Sus scrofa: one gene and its partner. The protein of the gene in region 1 interacts with the protein of each later gene in a pairwise test. Links are inferred from orthologs where the notes say so. Each region holds a gene or a part of one and is shown on either strand. Other genes may lie near its edges. The genes, in order: PIAS4 and SMAD7.

Region 1 (11,736 bases):
CAGGGGGGTGAAGGGGCTGTGACCTCTGCCACAGCACACAGGGCCCAACTCATGACCAGGGCCCACCATTATTATGTGGACCCCACAGCACCAGCACAGGCTGAGGACACCCTGAAGCCCCAAACAAGGGGTGCCAGAAGGGAAACTCCACAAGGGTGGGGGCTCTGACTGCTCCCTGCTGCATCCCCAGAGCGGATGCCCACTCAACCAGCACGGAGATACATGCTGTATGAATGACTGGGTGGAGGAATGGGGGGAGGGGTCTCCAAGAACACTCAGGGACCTGCTAAAACCTGAGGAGTGACAAGAGTCCCATCGCATTCTGCTCACCCTCTGGAGCCTAGGAGACCCAGAAAGCTGGGGCCGGTCAGCCTCCCAGGCCGGAATTCACAGCACCTGAGGCTAGGTCCAGGCTGACACCCACCCCCAGCCCTGTCATCAAGGCTGTCCAGGAGGGACCAAGGCCTACCTACATGACACTCAGTCAACCTGAGCGACAAAGAGACGAGCAAGAGATTCCTTGGCATCATCTCCTCCAGCCTTGGCTATACCCTGTCCCTTGGGGGCACACCTAGCCAAGCCCTGACCTGCCCATGTTGACAGGCCTGAATCCACTGACCAAAGTCACTCCTGCAAGCTACCTACTAGGAAGCAGCTTTCTGTGGAGGAAGGAGAGAAAGTCAGATCAAGCATCCAGCCTCACAGTGTACCACAGGGTATCAGAGTTGGTCTCCGTGACTAGTGGAATGTGGTAGAAGCAGAAGGATGCCGTTTCCAAGCTGAGGTTATGAGGGAGATCTAGGCTCCCAGCAGGTTTGAGCACTCCCATGTGCTCGTGCGTACACACACTTTCGCCCTCTCCCACCACTGCCCCATCAGCTCCCTCCCCTCCCCACCTCTGAGTCTGAGCCACCATGCCACCATGCAGGGGGACTCTCAAGTACAAGCAGGCCGCAGAGGCCCATGTGGCGAGAACTGGAATCTCCACCTGACGGCCAGCAACCGCATGAGAAAGTGGCCCTGCCCCCAGCCCCCACCGAGCCTTCTGACAAAGCAGCCCCTGACCATACCACCTTGACTGTAACTCCCTGGGCACCCCCGAGCCAGAACAGCTAGGCTCTTCCCGAGTTCTGACCTTCAGAAACAGACCTAATAGGTGTTAGCTGTTTCAAGCCACTGGGATTTGGGGTAACCTGCCCATGTGATAATAGGTCCCTAGTTCAAGGACCCAAAGGTAGTCCCTGTGCTTCCTGGGAGGGGTAATCCCCTCACAGCCTCTTGGCCCTTCCCACTCCCCAGAAAACGCTCCGGGTTGGCCACGTGGCTGGCCTCTGGTGCTGGGAGAACTCAAAAGGTGGGCCTCCCCCAGGGACAGCAGGGACTCACCCAGCTCTGTGGGCTTTAGCAATTCATCCAACATGTTAAAGAAGGGCAGCTTCACCAGGCGCACTTCCGGCTTGAGGGTCTTGGCAGGTAAGCGTCCGAGTCCGTTTAAGTACTTCCCGTAGAGCACGGGGTAGTCAATGTTGGGGCCCGTGAGGGGAGTCCTGGGCACCGAGCTGGCCCGGTCATAGGCTGAGTGCATGGCCAGGGGGTCCAGGGGCCGGTGGGGCTGGGGTGTGGGTTCTGAGCTCTTCTTGGCGTAGCGCGTCTCGTAGAGCTCCTTGATCTTCTTGAATAGCTCAGGGCTACAGTCAAACTGAACCAGCTGGAGGGCCCGGGTGACAAGTTCGTGTTTGAGTCCGCTCTTACTCCGGCCGACAAAACCCAGGAGCATCTGAAGATCGGAGACTCGGAAACTCATCACCATGTTCTGAGAAGAGCAACCACAGACAAAAAGGCTCAGAGAGAGATGCTGCCAGGGTGAGGGGCCGCCTGGGCCTTGAGTGGAGGGACGGTGAAGTGAGACCCTGCCAGCGGCTGGCCAGCCCAGCCCCCCAAGGAGGAGGCAGCAGTTTTGGTACCCGTCCCACTGGCCCATGCCTGGTCCCACTTCCATGCCCGTGCTCAATCTGCCAGTTCACCCTTCCCTGTGACGCCCCCTCCCAGCCCAGCCCTGCTCCCTTCCACCTCCTCCAACCTTCCTCAGCATCGCCAACGCAGCAAAAGCTCCTCTAACTGCTCCCCCCACAAACTACTTCTATTTTAGGTCCTCTTTCTTTTCTCATCTTCAAGCGTAAAAGCATCTCCAGGGCAGGACCTGGGAATCTTGGTTCCCTGTAAACAGACTTAACTACTCTCCAGCCAAGAACACCGATGGCCTCTCTGACCCTCAGTCTCTTCATCAGGGAGGACAACAGGCCCACCTCACTGGGATGTGGAAAGGACCAGATGAGGTGACTCACGCAAAGCAGAGTGGGTGCTCAACCAACATCAGCCAAAAAACATGTTTTCCCTTTGCTCTGGAGGACGGCTGCCACCACTTCCTTAGGCACAACTCACCTGAAGGGGACTGAGCGGGCTGTGTGATTATAAACTTGACTCTGATCCTTCAAACACTCCTACCAGGTTGGAGTGAGCCCCAATTAGGAACAAGATCCAAACTCATCTCTGAAGCTAGGGGTGGCTCCTCCCCACTAGGCTGCTCCAGCACCGACAGAGAGCTGAGCACTGTCGAGGCCATCAAAGCGTCTGCGGGGCTCACCAGCATGCCTCCTCCCCAGTACCGTGGATGCCAGGGCTGGATCATTCTCTGGGATGGGGCCGTCCCTGGCAAGGTGGGGTGTGAAGCAGGATCCCTGGCTCCACCCACTCGATGCCAGGAGTACCCGAAACCCCAGTCCCACAGACATCACCAAGTGTCCCCTGGGGGCAAAATCAGGCTGACAGAGGCACCAGGATCCAGCAGCCATAGATGCTGTTAATTGGGCTGAGGCAGGTGATGACCTCGCAGGGCCCCTCCAATGAAGTCAAACCAAACACAAGAGTGCAGTGAAACTAACTGGTGGTAGCTTGCCCTCAGTGACACTCTGGGCTCCCCAATATGCTACTAAAGCAACATATCCTGGAGAGACAGGCCAGCAGGGTTTGGGGGCCACCCATGCTGAGCCCTGAAGCTGGCCTGTGATGAGTGAAATGTAATGGGGAAAAGAAACTTCTAGGGGGAAGGGAAAAATAAAAAGTACAATCGACAACAGTGGATGTGGAAAGCTGACATGCCTGGGGCAGCATAGCACCCCAAAAAAACAATAAATCACTTAAACTCAACTAAAAAAAGTCTGCCAGTCAGAGGTAGGCGGTTCACCTGCCAGGCTCTTCATGTAGTGGCCTCAAAGCCAGAAGGCTGCTGCTTTCCGGCAGCTTAAGAGTCAGCCATGGAATCTGATGATGGCCCTGGGGCTCAGGAGCCCTGGGTTTAAGTTCAGACTCTGCCCTAGGTTCCCAGGTGACCCTGGCCTGTTGCCAAGCTTCACAGCACTTCAGTCAAGGTGGGAACTGACTAACATCCCTTCCAGATGTACAGCACTAGGCTTCTGCTGGTAGCAGAGGGGTGTGCTGGGCTCAAAATGACACAAACAAACCTACAGGGTTGCCTGGCCAGCAAAGCCTTGAGGGGGACACTTTTCCTGCTGTAGGATCTTCTTTCTACTCCTGCACTGCAGACACTGAGTGTCCGCCAATGGCAAGCATAAGGGCCTTCACGGTCACTATGCTCACAAGGACTCATGCCCACTATACAGGTCAGAAAACTGAAGTTCCAAGAGGGAAGCAACTGACCCAAGGCTTTCCTGAGTGTGGACAGCAGGGCTGGCATTTGGACTTGAGACCATCAGGTTCCTTGAGCTGCTTACTTCCACTCACACCCAGCTGCCTGGGGGCCCCTCATCCCCAGCACACCCCCTCACAGGGCCCTAAGCAGCCTGCTGGAGAGTCTGAACACTCTGAAAACAAAGAGGCTTTACCACCCTCGGCCTGACTTCCCACCTTGAGGAGAGAAGAAAAGATTGCAGACAAGATGTTTCTTCTGGAAGAGGCCCAAAGCACTCAAGGGGAGAGGCGATGTCATGTGGAAGCTGACCACTGGCCATGGAGTCAAAGGCAGGTGGGCTTGGCCTTTTGGAGTCACCCCGCCCCTGGGAGCCCCTGCCCCCACCTACCCCGTCCACCAGGTTGGACATCCGGAGCCGCCTCCTGCTCCTGCATCCTGGGGCACACCCCTCAAACTGCCATATGTTCACAACTCGTATTTCTCAGCAGCTGCCACCACCCAGGAGCCTGCCCTTGACACTGGTGGGGGGGGGGGCGCACGAGCAGGGTGCAAACATTCAGGAAGAAGCCCCAAGCGCTTTGCAGAACACTTCCTGCTGTGGCTTCATACTGACCCTGCCCCTCGGATCTGTGTTTATAAACAGCGCCAGGCCCCAGCAGCTTCCAGAGCCTCAACTCTAGGCTCCTTTGGAGCTGCCTAGAGAAACAACAGCCTTGATAGAGTAGCTGTGCTCAACTTAGGGGCTCCTCTCTCCAGGAAATCAGAGCTCCGTGCAAACTACTACGCACCCTCCTCTCAGGGACTTTCTAGACCACCCCGTCTCAGGTTAAGAGTCTCAGATTTCCAAGTTTATCAACAAGCCCCCTTCACCCTCCCCTCGAACCAGCCCATTTTGCACTCCAAAAGACAAAATCTCTGGTTCTCACTACAAAAGGGTGAGAAAGCTCCTAAAAGAGGGAGATATTTCAATGAGACGTATAGTAAGCACTTCTTGGTGACAGCAAAGCACTGGAGGAAAAAGAAGTCTCCCTAGAATCAGAGCAAGCTATGCTGCAGTCGTGAGCCCCCCTGAATGGAGGCTCACATTTTAGAAAACTTGAAAAAGGGTCCTCTAAAAAAAAGACAAGAGACAAAAAAAATTATAAGGCGTTCCCGTCGTGGCGCAGCGGAAACAAATCCGACTAGGAACCATGAGGTTGTGGGTTTGATCCCTGGCCTTGCTCAGTGGGTTAAGGATCCGGTGTTGCCGTGAGCCATGGTGTAGGTTGCAGATGCGGCTCGGATCTGACGTTGCTGTGGCTCTGGCGTAGGCCGGCAGCAATAGCTCCAATTAGACCCCTAGCCTGAGAACCTCCATACGCTGTGGGTGCAGCTTTAAAAAAAAAGACAAAAGACAAGAAAAAGGGTCAACTTGATTTAATTGGGGTTGGGGGGGCAGCCACTGGAGGGTCAAGCAGAGTTCATCAGATCATATTTCAAGGCCCTGAATGGTATAAGAGTTCAGACCCCACTCTCTGGCTGGAGGATCGGCGGGAGCCCAGAGCCAAAACCCCACAGCAGAGGAGGTTAAATTTCAGGGCTCCAGGGGACTTCAGGTTGCAGGCTGCTGCCTTGGGCTTGCACATCTCTAGGGCAGGTACTCAATTTCTCAAAATTCCAGAGGAGCAGAAGCATGTGTTCTAGGTACAGGGGGAGGGAGCTCAGGGGTGAAGGGAGGGTAATACCCTATAATCACAGAACCTTGAGGGCTTCATTTCAGACCCCAGTGGGAAGGGAAGGGAGATGTAAGGAAAGGGAAAGAAAACATTTACAGGTCAAGACCCTGGGGAGGACAGACCAGAGGGGTGGGGGTGCCTCAGTTCTGCAAAGGTCCTGCCCTCTACATCCCTGAGACCTGTGGCCTTGAGTAAACTTCTTACAGAAGAAGTCTCGTGCAGTCAGGGGCAAGAGTTCTGGAGCCTCACCTCAGAGAGGCTACCTTGAAGAAAATACATCTCTGGAAAACTGATGCTTCCAGCTTAGTCCCAAGAGGGTTAAAAAGGACCCTAAGCTAAGAGAAGGGATGGTATCTATGGGATGTGGAACCTGGACCCCAAACAGGAATACAGCAGAGAAGCACTAGGAACTACCCTACAGAAAAAATCCTACCCTGCAGTCAATCAGAGACCTTCCAAGGACCAACACGAGAGACCAGAAGAAAGAGAGAGGGGCCTCAGATGCCAAAGCTGGGATGCAAAAGCAGGGGTTCTGGGGCTAGGTGGAAAGGGAGTGTGATCTGAGCAGTAGATCCACAATGAAGTAGAATACAGAGGAAACAGCCAAGGTTGGGAAATAAGAGTCTGATCCCGCAAGGGTGAGGACTAGAACCCCCAGAAGTAGTCCAAAAGGGCATAGATGCTGTCCTAAAGGGGAAGAGGGAGAAGGAAGGCAGAGCTCAGAACCGAAGACTGAGAGGAGAGAGATGGGAAGGTCTTGGACACAGGGGCCAGAGCTCCATCCCAGGGGGGCACACTCAGTTAACACCAAGCCCACTCCAGGGTGAGGAAGGTGTCGGGAGGGAGGCGGGGTTCTGGAACCAGAGCAGGAGCTGAACAGGGCCCCAAACACCAGTTTAGCGTACAGACCCCAAGAGACACACTATTTTTGAGGGACATTGAGGACCCCAGCTCATCACTCCGGACGGTGCAAGCGGTGGCAGAAGAGTCAGGGGACCCTTCTGAGCAAGGAGTAGCCAACCCCAGTCTAGTCGGCTAGTCGGCTGGGGCGAGGAGGCTAAGACCCTGACGGCAGCCATGGCGGGAGAGAAGACGCGCAGACAATCCCAAAGGCCAAAGAGCGCGGACCCCTGTTTGGGACGAGAAGACAAGCAGCTCAGCCCGTGAAGCTGTCCGTGGGGACTGTGCCTCAAGCTGGGAGGCGCGGCCCTGTGCCCGTGTTTAGGGAGATTTGTAGGTAACCTAACCGCTCGAGCTGGAGAAGGGGACCCCAAGCTCAAGCCCAGGGGCCGACCCCCCAGGGCGAAGAGTGGGGTGAGGTTTTCGGGGGCCCCGCCCCCGGCCTCCGCGCGCCCCGCCCGCACCCGGAGTCCGGGGACCAGGGGCGGGCGAGGAGGCCGGACGCCGAGGTGCGAGCGGGCTGTGTCTCAGGACCCCGAGCGGAAGGCGCAGACCTCGGCCTGCCGCCCGGTCCACGCACCCCCCACCCTCCCGGGCCGGCGCCGCGGCCGCTCACTCACTTTGGCCTCCACCAGCTCCGCCGCCATCTTGGCCACCAGCGTCCCCCGCGCCGGGAGCCCCCAGCCGTCGCGTCACGTGACTGCCCTCCACTCGCGGGCGGGGCCTATGCCGCGACCAATTAGCACCCGCGCGCCCTCCTCCCCGCGGCGCGCGCGACCGCGCACTGCGCAGGCGCGCGCGGCCACCGCCCGGGCCTCGGGCCAATCAGGGTGGCCCGACACCGCCCCCCTCTTTAGCTCGCGGCGACCACGCCCACCCCTGGCTGCGTCTAGCTTCTTAAAGGCGCACGAGTGCCGCACAGGTAGGGGTGGGTGCTGGGTCCTGTCTTGGGAGGGAATAGATAGCAGAGGCGACAACAATGCAGCAAGGTGTTGCGGGTCCCCGGTGCGAGGCGGCTGCCAGGTGCTTGACCGGACGCCCGGTGGCGTGGGGGCGGGGAGAAGACAGTTGGCCGGCTCAGCAGCTGCCAATGCGTGCAGCGAGGCGCCTTGCAGAGCAGCGCTGTGCAGCCTCAGGCGTGCTATACATCCGGGTCCTGGCTCGGCAGAGGGGGCTCGGGCGCGGCGCCCCCCACTTAGTTGGCTCCCGGCGGAGAAATGCGGGACCTCCTGCCCACTTCCCGGAGCTCGTGCATCCCTCACACCCGTAAGCGTACTCCTCTCGCTAGTTCTGGCTCCCCATCCACAGTAAACCTTTGGAATCTGCACTAACCGGAAACTCCCCTGCTCAAGAGCTCTCTGTGGCTCCTCAGTGCTCGCGGGCCACAGAGCTCAAAGTTTCTTGTATCAAAAGCAGGAAGAAAGAGGACAAAACTGTGTATTTCAGGGCCCATCCCTTGACATTATAAATATCAGGGCAAGAATTAGCCGAAATTTGAGTGCCCCAAATGACCCTGTTATCAAGATAAATGTTTGTGTGATATATGTGAGAGATATATATACATATTTTTTTTTTTTTTGGCTGTTCCTCAGGGCATGGCAAGTTTTCCAGGCCAGGAGTTGAATCCGCACCGAAGAAGCGACCCAAGCCATAGCAGTGACATTGCCAGATCCTTAACCACTAGGCCACTAGGGAACTCCTGTGCAATATTTTTTAAGAAAAATTAATGCAGGAGTTCCCGTCGTGGCGCAGTGGTTAACGAATCCGACTAGGAACCATGAGGTTGCGGGTTCGATCCCTGCCCTTGCTCAGTGGGTTAACGATCCGGCGTTGCCGTGAGCTGTGGTGTAGGTTGCAGACACGGCTTGGATCCTGCGTTGCTGTGGCTCCGGCGTAGGCTGGCAGCTACAGCTCCGATTGGACCCCTAGCCTGAGAACCTCCATATGCCGCAGGAGCGGCCCAAAGAAATAGCAAAAAGACAAAAAAAAAAAAAAAGAAAGAAAGAAAAAGAAAAATTAATGCAAAAAAACTCCATGATGAAGAAAATACTAATTTAAGAGAGAATCTAACTCTGCAGTTGCAGTCAATACCTCCCTCACCTCACCATAACTCATTTACCTCACCCAAAACTCTGACTCTGCAGGGTTTTGTTTTACTTTTTTTACAATGTTTTATTTTGGGGCACATCAAAGTTCCTGGGCCAGGGATCGAATCCTTAATTCGCTGTGCCACAGCAGGAACTTCGAGCACCAGAATCTTAATCCAGGTCTGACCTTCTCCACACGGTTATAAACTGCATCAGACTGTTCCAGCAGATATTCAGTGATAATCTCTCCATATATCAAAAACCTAATATATGCCAGACACTTTTGAATTAGGAGCGAACATCTTCTGCAAAGATCCAGATAATAAGTATTTTCAGCTCTACAAGCTACAGACAGCATCTGTAGCAACTACTCAACTCGGTGGGCATAGTCATGTACCAATAAAACTTCATTTTAGTCATTCCCATTATGGCACAGTAGAAACAAATCCAACTAGGAACCGTGAGGTTTCGGGTTTGATCCATATCACTCAGTGGGTTAAGGATCCAGTGTTACAGTGAGCTGTGGTATAGGTTGCAGATGCAGCTCAGACCTGGCATGGCTGTGGAGTAGGCCGTCAGCTGTACCTCTGATTGGACCCGTACCATGGGGCCCTCCATATGCCTTGGGTGCGGCTCTAAAAAGCAAAACAAAAACAAAAATCCCTTCATTTCTAAACACTGAATTTGAATTTTATAGAATTTTTACATATAATGAAATATTATTTGAATTTTGGTTCAGACACTGAAAAGAGAAACACTTTTAGCTCAAGGGCTGTTCAGAACAGTTGTCAGACCAAAAAGAAAACAAAAAGACAACTTACAGAATGGGAGAAAATAGTTTCAAATGATGCAACTGACAAGGGCTTAATCTCTAGAATATATAAGCAACTTATACAACTCAACAGCAAAAAAACCAATCAATCAATGGAAAAATGGGCAAAAGACCTGAATAGACATTTCTCCAAAGAAGATACACAGATGGCCAGCAAACACATGAAAAAATGCTCAACATCACTGATTATAAGAGAAATGCAAATCAAAACTACCATGAGATATCACCTCACACCAGTCAGAATGGCCATCATTAATAAATCCACAAATAACAAGTGCTGGAGGGGCTGTGGAGAAAAGGGAACCCTCCTGCACTGCTGGTGGGAATGTAAACTGGTACAGCCACTATGGAGAACAGTTTGGAGATACCTTAGAAATCTATACATAGAACTTCCATATGACCCTGCAATCCCACGCTTGGGCATCTATCCGGACAAAACTCTACTTAAAAGAGACACATGCACCCGCATGTTCATTGCAGCACTATTCACAATAGCCAGGACATGGAAACAATCCAAATGTCCATCGACAGATGATTGGATTCGGAAGATGTGGTATATATACACAATGGAATACTACTCAGCCATAAAAAAGGATGACATCATGCCATTTGCAGCAACATGGATGGAGCTAGAGAATCTCATCCTGAGTGAAATGAGCCAGAAAGACAAAGGCAAATACCATATGATATCACTTATAACTGGAATCTAATATCCAGCACAAATGAACATCTCCTCAGAAAAGAAAATCATGGACTTGGAGAAGAGACTTGTGGTTGCCTGATGGGAGGGGGAGGGAGTGGGAGGGATTGGGAGCTTGGGCTTATCAGACACAACCTAGAATAGATTTACAAGGAGATCCCGCTGAATAGCATTGAGAACTATGTCTAGATACTCATGTTGCAACAGAAGAAATGGTGGGGGAAAAACTGTAATTGTAATGTATACATGTAAGGATAACCTGACCCCCTTGCTGTACAGTGGGAAAATAAAATAAAATAAAATAAAATAAAATAAAAAAGAACAGTTGTCAGGATAGATTTGGCCCTTCCTTTCTTCCATTCTAATAGGTATGCAATGGTATCTCACTGGGGTTTGATTTTAACTCCCTAAATCTATGATTAGGATTCTCATTTTTTTCATGTGCTTATTAGTCATTTGTATATCTTCTGTGTTTTTTTCCTCATTTATAATGATTTTTATTTTTTCCATTAAAAACCATAGTTAGATGCCACGAAGTAGGTGGCAATGCATGTTGTTAGGCCTGAGGGCCTCTTCCATCCTCGTCAAGGAGAGTGCTAACCTCTCCTTTCATGCAACACTGATAAAAATGTTTATTCAAGTCTTTTACCTATTTTTAAAACAGAGGTTTTTTGTGTTGTTGAGCTGTAAGTTTACTATTAATCTCTCATCAGATATATGATTCCCAACTGTTTACTCCTATTCCCTAGGTTGTCTAGCTTAATATTAAGATGTTAGGGAGGGAATTCCCGTCATGGCTCAATGGTTAACGAATCTGACTAGGAACCATGAGGTTGCAGGTTTGATCCCTGGCCTTGCTTAGTGGATTAAGGATCTGGTGTTGCTGTGGCTGTGGTGTAGGCTGGCAAAACAGCTCCGATTAGACCCCTAGCCTGGGAACCTCCACATGCTGCGGGTGTGGCCCTAAAAAAAGACAAAAAAAAAAAAAATTCATGTGCTGGGGGGCGCCGCCACTGCCAAGATGGCAGTGAGAATTGCTGCCTTCCTGAAAAATGCCTGAGCTGAAGGGTCGGTGCTGGTGTCATCCTTCACCATCTGGGGCCTTGCTATAATTCTGCCTGTACTCAGCCCTTATACCAGCTATGCTGTTATGATCAACCAGGTCACACCCTACAACTACCCAGTGCCCCTCAGAGATGACGGGAACATGGCCTAAGTGCTCAGCCACCCCTGGGACCCCCGGGGCCCAAGCTTGGAGTGGCTGAAGAAACTGTGAGCACCTCCACTGACAGCGTAAGAGAGGCCTCCTCCCCAGTGGCCCCCACTAAAAATGTGAAAACCAATAAATAAGTAAAAATAAAAAATAAAATAAAATTCCTATGCAAGAGTTCCCTGGTGGCTCAGCTGGTTTAAGTTCCAGCATTGTCACTGCTGTGGTGCCAGTCACCGCTATGCCACAGGTTCCATCCCTGGCCTAGTAACTTCTGCATGCCATGCACGTGGCCAAAAAGGGGGAAAAATGAGCCAGTGTGGAAAATGGCTAGGTTTACTCAACCTGCAATTCCACTTCCCACAGAAATCACCAAAATGCTACTGATGGTAATAATACCAGCTAATATTTACTGTTCAACTATGTCTTAAGCATTTAACATGTTACCACCTCATCCTCACACCAACCCTATGAAATGTGTACCATTATTGGGTCCAATTTACAGATGAAAAAATCAGTCTTGAGTGGTTAAGTGACCCACCAAGATCACCTAGGAGAACAAGTACATTGAAATTGCTCTTGA
Region 2 (10,570 bases), on another chromosome or scaffold:
AATGTAAAATGCTTGGAACTCTGCTTACCACATAGTCACAACACAATCAGTCTGGCTATTAGTATCATTATTTCCATCCCAAACTAAGCCCACAGTTCTGGCTCTCCCTCCCTCACGGGGACAAGCCTTGTGCCAGAAATTGTTAGGGCAGTGGATCCTCAGAGAGGTCCCAGCTGAGACCCCAGAGTGCCAAAAGCTTACTGTTCAGTGGGGGAGAGAGGCTCTTACACCACTGATGTCTCTTTAGAGCAGAAATTTGTAAGAAGGAGGCTTCCTGGAGGAAGTGTGGTCTGAGCTGCATCCTGAAGGGTGGGACAACCCAAATGAAGAAGGGACTGGATAGTACTTGCTCAGAGGCACGTAAACAAAGTATGTTTAAAGAACTGCAAGTCACTCTGCCTGCCCGGGACAGAGGGGATGTGTGTGTGTGTGCACACGTGTGTTATGTGTGTATGTGTTATGTATGTATTCTGTTTAAGTATGTATAGGTGTGTGCCTGCTTTGTGTTATATGTGTATATGCATATGTGTTGTGCATGTGTGTTATATGTGTGCATGTTGTGTCTGCATGTGTATGTTATGGGTGTATATGTGTGTGTTATGTGTGTGTGTTTGCATGTGTGTTATGTGCATACATGTATGTTTGTTGTGTGTGTGTTATGTATGTATTCTGTATATGTGTGTATGTGTATGACCGCTTTGTGTTATATGCATGCATGTTTATGTATCGTGTGTGTGTGTCTGTATATGTGTGTGCGTGTGTATGTTATGGGGTGTATGTGTGTATTGTGTGTCTGCATGTGTGTTATGCGTGTGTATGTGTGGGTCTATATATGTATGTATTGTGTGTCTGCGTGTCTGCGTGAGTATGTGTGTGTTAAAGGGTGAGGCTGGCAGAGGCAGATGCTGAAAGGGCACCTGGAACAGAGGAAGGAAGGCCAAGGAGTCACTAGAAGGCCCTGGACTCAATCGTACTAGTGGGGAGAGAGCAGGGGCCCATACGTGAGAAAGCTTTGCGTTGTATAATTATGGGTAGAATGAGGCAGGGATCTGGATTTCTGTGTCATGGTGGGGGATGGGGCAAGGGAGGTGGGAGAATCTGGCTTCTGGCCAGAGCAGCTGAGGCATCCACAGGTGGGGGGAGATGAAGGCACCGGAGTAGAAGCGATGTTACCCCGAGGACAGGGTGTGGCCTGAGAAGAGAGCCCTGGGCAGAAGCCTATGACACACCCCCAAACCTGACTGGTGAGCTGGGAGAGGAAGGAGAACCAGGAGGCAGGAGAATTCCCTCCAACGGGGCATCCCCTCCTGCCCTCTGCTAATCCACATTCACCTGGGCTGCAGGTCCTCGCTCCTCTGAGCTCCGTGTGGTCCGGGGTACGCGCCCCTCCATCTGTGCTGCTGGCCACTGTCTGGTGTGGGCAGCCTGTCCCCCAGCACCACCGAGACCTGGGTGCTCCCTACAGCAACCCCGGCACTTCGGAGGTTCCCGGGGGGGTGCCCCTGGTTATGGTGGCTCAGGACCAGGTTCTGCAAACTTGGGGTCTTCCCTAAGTATCCCTCTTTCCCTAACCCAGAGCCAGCCACCCCATGGGGTCCACAGGCACTCAGACCAGTTCTAACCTCATGGGGCTGAGAGTTGAGTCCAGGTGACTGAGGCAGGTGGGAATGTGCTGCTCCCATAGCTCCTGCCTCCAGAGCCAGAGGTTCTGCCCATGCAGCATGCAGAGCAAACAATATGGGGCCCCCGGTACCCCAACAAACTGCATCAAATAATGTCTCTATAGGGTATGGACCAAGGAGTGATACCAGAGTCGGCCCCCAATCCCCCCCACCCCTAAAACTGCACTCCCTGGCCCAGTGACCTTGGGCCAATCTTTTAACCTCCCAAAGCCTCCATTTTTGCAGGGGGTCCTAGTGAGGATTAAATAATTCCCTTAAACTCTTAACACCATGCCTGGCAACCAGCTAAGCCTTCAATAAATGGTAGCTATTATTATTATTAAAGAGCTTCCTGGCATGCTGATGCAAGTTAGAGCAAAGGAAAATGCCTTTGACAGCTCCCTAATGTAACACCTTCCACCCCGCCCCTCCTCCACTGCTACCACCCGGGAGTTAATTAGAGCCCTCCTTGGGTGTTTTCCAGACATGGGATTTTACGCTTATTCTAGGTTGCAGAACTAGAATAAATGGAGGCAGGTTTTAGTTTAACTGATAAAAAGCTGCCACAGGAGGTAGTGAGCTCCCCATCACCTCTTGTGAATAAGCTGGCCAAGATGACCATGTGGCACTAACCTCTGGGTCATAAAGCAACAGGTATTAACATTCTCAGTACACAAGTGGATGACAATTCCTGCGAATTAAATGGTGGTGCCGGTAGGCTGTGATGCATGGTGTCATTTGGCAAAATGAAAAATTGGTGATCCTATTTGGTCCCTCCAAAAAACGTTTTCTGAAATTGTACTGGTTTGTGATATCCAAAATCTTAAGCCCCACTTCTAAGAGAGCCCCTTCCTGGGTCTAAGGTTCAAGACCCCCTGACATAAGCACCTAATCGGGTGCCCAGTTTGGACCCATTTCTTGCACAAAAGGCCTTGAATCTAAAATGTGGATCAGGGAGTTCCCATTGTGGCTCAGTGGTAATGAACCTGAAGCGTATCAATGACATTGCAGGTTTGATCCCTGGCCTTGTTCAGTGGGGTAGGATCCGGAATTGCTGTGAGCGGTGGTGTAGGTTGCAGTCGTGTCTTGGATTTGGTGTTGCTGTGGCTGTGGCCTGCAGCTGCAGCTCCAATTGGACCCCTAGCCTGGGAACCTCCATGTGCCATGGGTGTGGCCCCAAAAAGCAAAAAAATAAAAATAAAATAAATGTGGATCAGATCAAGGAGTGGATCAAGAGAGCAGTGGAAATCCCAGGGGCAGTTCTGAAGAGGTAGGTTACCAGCAAGTGCCACTGGGGCTGGGCTGAGTCAAGGGAACAGCAAACTGGAGAGAGTGCAGTGTAGGAGCTAGACTTCTTTTCAGTCCTCTCGGAGTGTGCAGTACAGAACTTCGCAGACCCAGGTGGCCGATTCCTCCTACCACCAGCACAGCCTGTGCCTCATCTCTACTCCAGGGCTTCAGCCCTCAGGGAAGCTGTCCTGGAACCCATTGTGGCAGTGACCTTCCTCAGGGAAAGGTGCAGTAGTGTCAGGATTGAACATACAGCAAGGAGCTGGCAAGCAGGAATCAGATGGACCCCAAGTTCTTAGGACTATACCTCCTCTTCCCCTTGCCCATCATTCAAAATGAAACTCTCTTTACTAAGCTCTTCAAGATTTTTTTTCTTTTTTTTTTTTCAAGGCTGCACCTGCAGCATATGGAAGTTCCCAGGCAAGGGATCAAATCAGAGCTGCAGCCACCGGCCTACACCAGTCACAGCAGTGCCACGTCAGAGCCACATCTGTAACCTATGCCACAGCTTGCAGCAACACCAGATCCTTAACCCACGGAGGCCAGGGATGGAACCCACATCCTCATGGATATTATAGTTGGGTTCTTACCCTGCTGAGGTACATCAGGAACTCAACTTTTCAAGCTTTGAAAAAAGTCACCTGCTTTTGTAACTCAGGGCTCCCTGAGGTTGACAAATTCAGGACACCCACCAACTACACTCTAGGGTTACTGCCTTATAAGAAAGGTGCTATCTGTGCAGGTATGGCTCTTTCTAGCATTCAGAGAAGACCAAGTTCTTTTGGATGTTTCTCCCTTCTGTGGTCCCCCCCTTTCCTCCCAACCAAGCACGAGGAGACACCAACTGTCCTGGATTCTGCACCTCCCCACTCCCCTCCTACCAGGAAAAAAAAGGAGCTGGAAGACAACAAGGGAATCAAGTATACATTTTAAAAATTGTTTAATGGAACATAAACTCCTTTAGAAAAACATTCAGCCAGGTGATAACACCCATAGAAAAAAACACCAATCTTGTGTTTATCTTTTTTTAATTTGGCATTTGTTATTTGCATTTATATTAAAGCAAAGTGCATCTTTTCTTTATTTTTGTTTATACACATTGCACAATACATAAATAATGATGCTTATAAAACGTCTTCATATTTACAAGTAATAATATATTTATATATAACATAAAATACATTTTTTCTTTAATAAATCTCAGGTTTTTTTCAGGAGTCCTTTCTCTCTCAAAGCACTACAATGCTAAATTTCCAATGAGAATGCTTCTCTTGTTCATTTAAACCTTTGTAGTTAGAAAAATAGCTTATGTTAAAGTCTAAACATGCTCATTGAGCTAAGAGCAGTGTCAACGTATCATCCGAGTGTATGAGTTGTAGAAGAAATGAGAAGAGTTAGGGGTGTCAGCTCAGGATGGTACCTTGGGTTACAATGGACCGAATCCTTCTTGGTGGGAAGGGGGAGCGGGGGGCAGGGGGGTGCTGCTCCCCTCACTGGTCTAACAGCAGAGCTCAGCACACAGGCTGCGGAGGGAAGGAAAATGCTGAGCTGGTTTTCTGAATCCAGGAAAAACCTGATGTAACCAGGGACGGGGAGAGGCTGAGGGGCCTGAGAGGGCACTGGGTGAGCAATACTGTAATGGGGCTGCCCCGGCAGCCCTCAGGAAGTCCATCTCAGAGACAATCCAGGAGCAGGTGGCCAAAAGAGAAAGGACGATGGCAGGGAGGTGGCTGGAGGGGGCGGGGGCGAGTGAGACAGCATGGGAAATAGGTTCTGGTTCGGCTTCTTGTAGAGCTGCTTCGAAGAAGCCTGCGGACAGGCCAATGTCCTAGGAAGGGGTGGCGAGGGGCAGGGGGGCTTCCACAGGCTGGGGACACAACCTTGCTGCTGGCAGCTGCTGGGAGACCTGCTGCCCCACTGCGCAGGTGCAAGGGGCTAGAGACACAGCTTGGGAGCATTCGTAGTTAACAACACAGAGCACACCGCCTCCCCCATCTACACTCACACACGCGCACACACTCACTCACACATAAGCCCTACTAAGGGCTACGATGACCCCAAGGTTGGGGCCTGCTCCCCATTTACACTGTGTTTGGTGGCACTGATTTTTGCTTCCCCTTTTCAGATCTGGGTGTTCTGCCAACCTTACCACTGCCCACCCCTGCCCCCGCCCCAACCCGCCCCGAAGAGGAAAAAAAAAAAAAAAAAAAACCAACAATTCTTTTCATAAGCTATTTCTCAAAGAACAAAACAAAACATAACATAAACAAGAACGACGAGAGGAAGGAAAAAAAAAATGACCAAAGAGTTTGCATGAAAAGCAAGCACTCAGGAGGAAAATCTTAGCAGCAAAGTAGTTTGGACTGGGCCCGCTCGGCTCCCGCTCTGTCCTCTCCCCCACGAGGCTACCGGCTGTTGAAGATGACCTCCAGCCAGCATGGGCAGCTGCTGATGAACTGCCGGGTGTAGCACTGGCCCCAGCCCTTCACGAAGCTGATCTGCACGGTGAACCCAGTCCACGGCTGCTGCATGAACTCGTGGTCGTTGGGCCGCTGCAGGCTGTACGCTTTCTCATAGTCAAAAGCCTTGATGGAGAAACCGGGGAACACTTTGTGTACCAACAGCGTCCTGGAGTCCGGGTTGTCCAGTGTGGCTGACTTGATGAAGATGGGGTAACTGCTGCGGTTGTACACCCACACGCCATCCACTTCCCGCGTGAGCTGGATGCCACAGCCGATCTTGCTCCGCACTTTCTGCACCAGCTGACTCTTGTTGTCCGAATTGAGCTGTCCAAGGCAAAAGCCATTCCCCTGAGGTAGATCATAAAAGATATCCAGGGAGGGCTCCTGGACACAGTAGAGCCTCCCCACTCTCGTCTTCTCCTCCCAGTATGCCACCACGCACCAGTGTGACCGATCCCCAGGCTCCAGAAGAAGTTGGGAATCTAGAAGACAAAATGGCAGACATGGTGGGTGATGATGGGGACTGGCATTTTCCTCTTCCTCCCAAACCAAGATGACGTGCACATCCGCACTCCTGGGCCGCCAGGCCCACTGTTTCTCAGTGCAAGACAGAAAGAGATGATAGGGCACTGGATGTGCCACAGGCTGTACAGTTCCCCTATGGGGGGCTTGGAGATCTTAACCCAGTGATGGAAGAGCGGGGCCTCTAAAGCATGGGGGTCCCTGATCCCTCTGCTCCCCCGCATCCTATCAGGAACCCAGGACACCAACCCTACCAGTGGAAGCCCCATCCCTGCAGAATCAGAAGCCAGGACCACTTAGTAACTTAGTTGGAGGGCTTACTTTTAGGGCTGGGAGAGGCCTTCTAGACAGGTCTAAAATTATAGTCCTTTAAACTGGATGGAACCTTGCAGGCCAGCTGCTCCAGCCCCTTGTCATCCTCATGAGAAAACCTGGCCTCAGGAAGTCTGTTGCTCAGGCCCCAGGGATGACACAGCCAGACCTTGACCCCAGGACCACCTGCTAAACAGTCTCTGTGCTTGTCACCCAGTCCTCAGATCAATGCCTTGGTCATCAGGGAGCACTGTCTGGGGGAAACTTTAATGGAGGTGGCTTGGGATAAAAATACCTATCTTCCTAATAGAAAAACAACTCAGTGTGTCTGTCCCCGGCAGCTCTGTACACAAAGGGTGAGCTCCTGTCAACACGCCAAGTCACAACATGCAACTTGGTGTCAGCCCCGACTACCTCCGGCCCAGATGGAAGATTGTGTGTCTCAAGTGGGTACAACCATGCCTTTGGCGGGGGGGAACCCTCCTCCTCCTCCTCCCCCTCCCTCCCCAGAAGCATCTAGACTGGGTGTCCTCCCCCTCCTTCTTCTGTCCGCCCCTGGAGGCCCCACCCCGGCTTTCCTAGACGTGCTTTCTTCCCACGGCAGCCAGCAGGGGAGGCTGGGGTGAGTCTGCTAAGGTGATTTTTCCTGAACAGGCGCTTGGAGGTCTTTTAAAAGGGAGGATATATGGAAGCCAGGGGGCCCCGGCGGCTGGCATTCCGACTCTTCCTCAAGCTGGAGCCGGCGGGGTAGGCCTCAGACTGGGAGCCATAAATCTCCCGAGCCCAGCCGGGCTGCAGGAACGCTGCGGTTTGTGGTGGCAGGGCGGAGACCGGAAGTCTTGTATTTGTTAACAAAAATGGGGAAAGGCAGGGGAGAGCAGGGCCGGCGGCAGAGCCCTCCTCCCGCCCTCCCTGTAAGCTCCTGCTTCTCTGTTACTGGGGGGCTTGGGGTTGAAGGCAGGGGTTGGCGGGAGGTGTCTTTTGCTCTGTTAGGCCTTTTTGATTTTTGGAAGCGATGATGGGTTATATGGCACAGCGGCTGGGGGTTGGAGGAGGGCTCAGGCCCCGCATCCCGCCATCCCCGCAGGCCGGGGAGCCAGGGCAGCTCAGCATGCCAACTCCTTCCAACGTTTCTAGGCATGTTCGGGCCTGGGAGCCAAACCAGGCAGCTCCATTAACTTTTTTTTTTTTTTTTTTTTTTTTAAAGCAGCAGCCAGTCTTGCATGGAGGCATCCTATGTATGAATAAGTCTGTACAAATGTACTACCCATCGAGGCAGCCACCAACACCCACCCTGAGTGGCAATCCCCTAGACACCCCACCGGCTGGGACAGCTACAAAAATGGGGAAAGCTGAGGGGTCCTTCCTCCCCTCAACCCCAACCCCATGAAATATCAACACCAGAAACTTGGTCACCTGCGTCCCCCATGCATCTCTAAAGCTCAAGTGTGGGAGAGGCTGTGTCCATGAGCATAGTGTGAACGCACTTCGAGTGTGTGCTCTGTGTGTGTGTGTGTTTGCAAGCACACACCCGGGAACATATGGAAAAACGAGAGGGACCAGGGCTCCAAGCTGAAGGTGACTCGTCAGGCATTAACTTGTTTCTGCAAAGTATCCATCAACTGCTAATAAACTCGCGAGCGCTGGCAATCTTTGAACCCTCTTGCCGAGGGAGTTCAGCTCTGAAGGCTACACCAAAGACCCATAACATCCATGTAAATAAAAATGTCCTGGCAGCCAAGTTTGCTGAGGGAGGAGAAAGCCCTTACCTGCCTGCCTGTCTGAGCGGGGAGGGTGTTTGGAAATATAAGCTATCGCTTATGCTCCCAACTCGGGACAACAAATTGGCCTGGAAAGGAAGACTCGAGAGTTGCTGGGAGGAAGGTTCGGGAGACCCTTGGGGGAGCCTCACAATACTTTGTTTCATGGAGCTCCCCTGAAACCTGGCACCCGCTGGAGCAGGGAGGTGAGGCAGGGGGAGGGGGAGGAGGAGGACAGGGTCCTAGGGATCAAATTGCCCCGGTGCCAGGCCCACAGACAAGGGATGGGGGGCCTCTGTGGGCTGAGGAAGCTGGGCGGGGGCAGAGGATTGAGGTCGCCCAGCGGAGGGGAGGGGAAGGGGGGGGGCCTTCTGGCGGGTTTCTCTTTCATCTGTGCTGCCCGCCAGTCCACCCAGCAATTTGCTGCCAGACATCCCCTGGAAAAAGCCTTTTGCTGTTGAGGTTAATGGCCCAGCCCAGATAAACAGCAGCGTGTGGGTGTCCCTGGATGTGAATAAGGCCCCTGAAAGCCCACTTGGTGCCCTAATCGGGGGCAGCAGGACCCCCCCCATGTCACCCAGCAGCCCCCTAGCACCCTGATATCTCTTTTCTTTTGCTCCTCCTTGACTTTATCTGAGCCAAAAAGCAGGCTCTCAGGCAAAACCAGTGCAAGAGAGAAGGTCCCTTTTACATGGCACGCTGCTGGGGGCCTGGTACGCAGGGCTCCCTCCTTTGCCCTGAACGACCTGCCGTCTGGGCTCATTTCTGGGAAGCATGCAGCGACATCTTCAGAGAATCAGTTCCCTAAATTGGGCCCACAGCCCACTAGCATCTCCCCACAAAGGTCTGTGCTGACGCCCAGCTCCCAGGGGCTTCCCAGGCCTCCTTGAGGTGAGCAGCTGGGAGGATCTCGCCCCGAAAAGTCCCCCTGATTACAAGGACTAAGGAAGCGCCTTCGTATCATGGTGGTTGATTCTCAGCCTCCAAAGGCAAAAACTCGCAGTCCCTTGTTAATTTCCCTCAGCTTTTATAACCGTTTCCGGCATTTCCAACAACTTCTTCTCTCCCGCCTCAGAAAACTGTACAGGGGCTTGTTTTAAAACTGTATTTGTGCATTTTAACTCATCCAAAAGAAAAGCTGTGTTGTAAAAAGCTAGCTAATCAGATGCCTGCTCACAATTTTTTCTTTTTATTACAGTTTAGGGAATTTTTGGAGCAACCCCAGAAAAGTGCTGAATCGGCCTAAAATTCCTTTCAGGTTGTTTTCCCCCCTCCCCTTCCCCATTTCCCTTAAAGCATAAAATCTACCCTTTAAAAGGAAAGGGGGAGGCGGGGGTGGAGAAGGGGAAGGATTTCGCCTCGTGTTTGCACTTGCATTAGGGAAGACCACTTAACGAGACCTCGTACAAAGAGTTATTTAATTACCCTGGTCATGAATGAACAGACCAGACCGTTCTAGAAGGCCAGAGGCTCATGAATGAATCTCCTGCCTGGGATCTCAATGGCACAGGGTGACCAGACCTCAAGGCCCCAATTTAGGTAAGAGAGATATTTCCCCCTTTAAAATTTTTGTATTTGAAGGTGTGAGGCAATGAAGAAGAAAAAACCTGGGGGTGGGGGTGGGAGGAAAGGCCAAGTTCAGGGCCTCAATAGTACTATTTCTGGTCTTCAGCTTAAGGAGGCAACCAGGAGGCCAGAGAGGCAGAACTGTTTTAAGACACCCAGTGGGATTCTGAGAACACTAGAAGTAAGGCCGTCTGACCTGAGCTTACACACAGAGGGGGTGCTGATGGGGAGGGGGTCCCTGAGATCCTGACTTTTCAGGACAGGGACACAACTGAGAAACCAAGCCAGCCCAGATGGGGCCACAGCAGCTCGCACCCTCGGAATCCAATGAGCCCCATGGCCAGGGCTCAAGGTGGCTGGACTAAAAGATGGGCAAAGGGAGGTGGGTCTCAACCCGATCTCATCTCTGCAAGGCGCTTGGATTACCAAGGGATTACTTCTTTTATCCAACCCTCTCATTATCCAGCAGTCGGGTGGGTCTTCGAGCCCCTTCCCCAGTGGTCCTGCACAGCAGCCGGCTGGGGTGGAGCCGGCGGAAATGACTGCCTCACGCAGGCTGATGAGGGCAAACGAAGGGCACAAATGCAGACTCAGAAGTACAACCCTGGAACGCAAACATTGCCACGCCTCACCCTCTCAGGTCCAGGGTCCTCCCTCCTCGGGACTCCCGGCGCCACCACGGTTGCCTCATCCGTCCTGCCCCCTCCATCACTCATCTCAAAGGTTAACAGCACCCGTCAGCCCGGCTCCCCACCCCGGTCAGGAAACGGGCTGTTCTGAGAGCAACCGGCCCACTTCAGGGACAAGGACTGAGATAAAAGGACTCGGTACCACTCCGTCCTATCGACTCTCTCATCTCAAATACAATTAACAAAGACTCTTGTTGGGCTCCAGTTTTCAGGAAGCAAATGACCGAAAAAACTAAAGCAAACATAAAACCAGGCTGGGGTGTCTGGGCTCCGTCTGGGCTCCGGGGTCAGCTCTCAGCCACGTTTGC

Evidence for each region.
Region 2: the proteins of PIAS4 (region 1) and SMAD7 interact in a two-hybrid assay, tested with the Homo sapiens proteins (2 studies listed by BioGRID and IntAct). The link is inferred for Sus scrofa from reciprocal best matches to the Homo sapiens genes PIAS4 and SMAD7.

The regions. Positions count from the first base shown.
Region 1 is NC_010444.4:74,722,740-74,734,475, forward strand, and holds the start of PIAS4 (E3 SUMO-protein ligase PIAS4), read right to left. Parts: upstream 7,054-11,736; 5' UTR 6,972-7,053; coding exon 6,945-6,971; intron 1,814-6,944; coding exon 1,387-1,813; intron 1-1,386.
Region 2 is NC_010443.5:98,508,926-98,519,495, forward strand, and holds the end of SMAD7 (mothers against decapentaplegic homolog 7), read right to left. Parts: intron 5,896-10,570; coding exon 5,357-5,895; 3' UTR 3,875-5,356; downstream 1-3,874. UniProt on the Homo sapiens protein: Antagonist of signaling by TGF-beta (transforming growth factor) type 1 receptor superfamily members; has been shown to inhibit TGF-beta (Transforming growth factor) and activin signaling by associating with their receptors thus preventing SMAD2 access.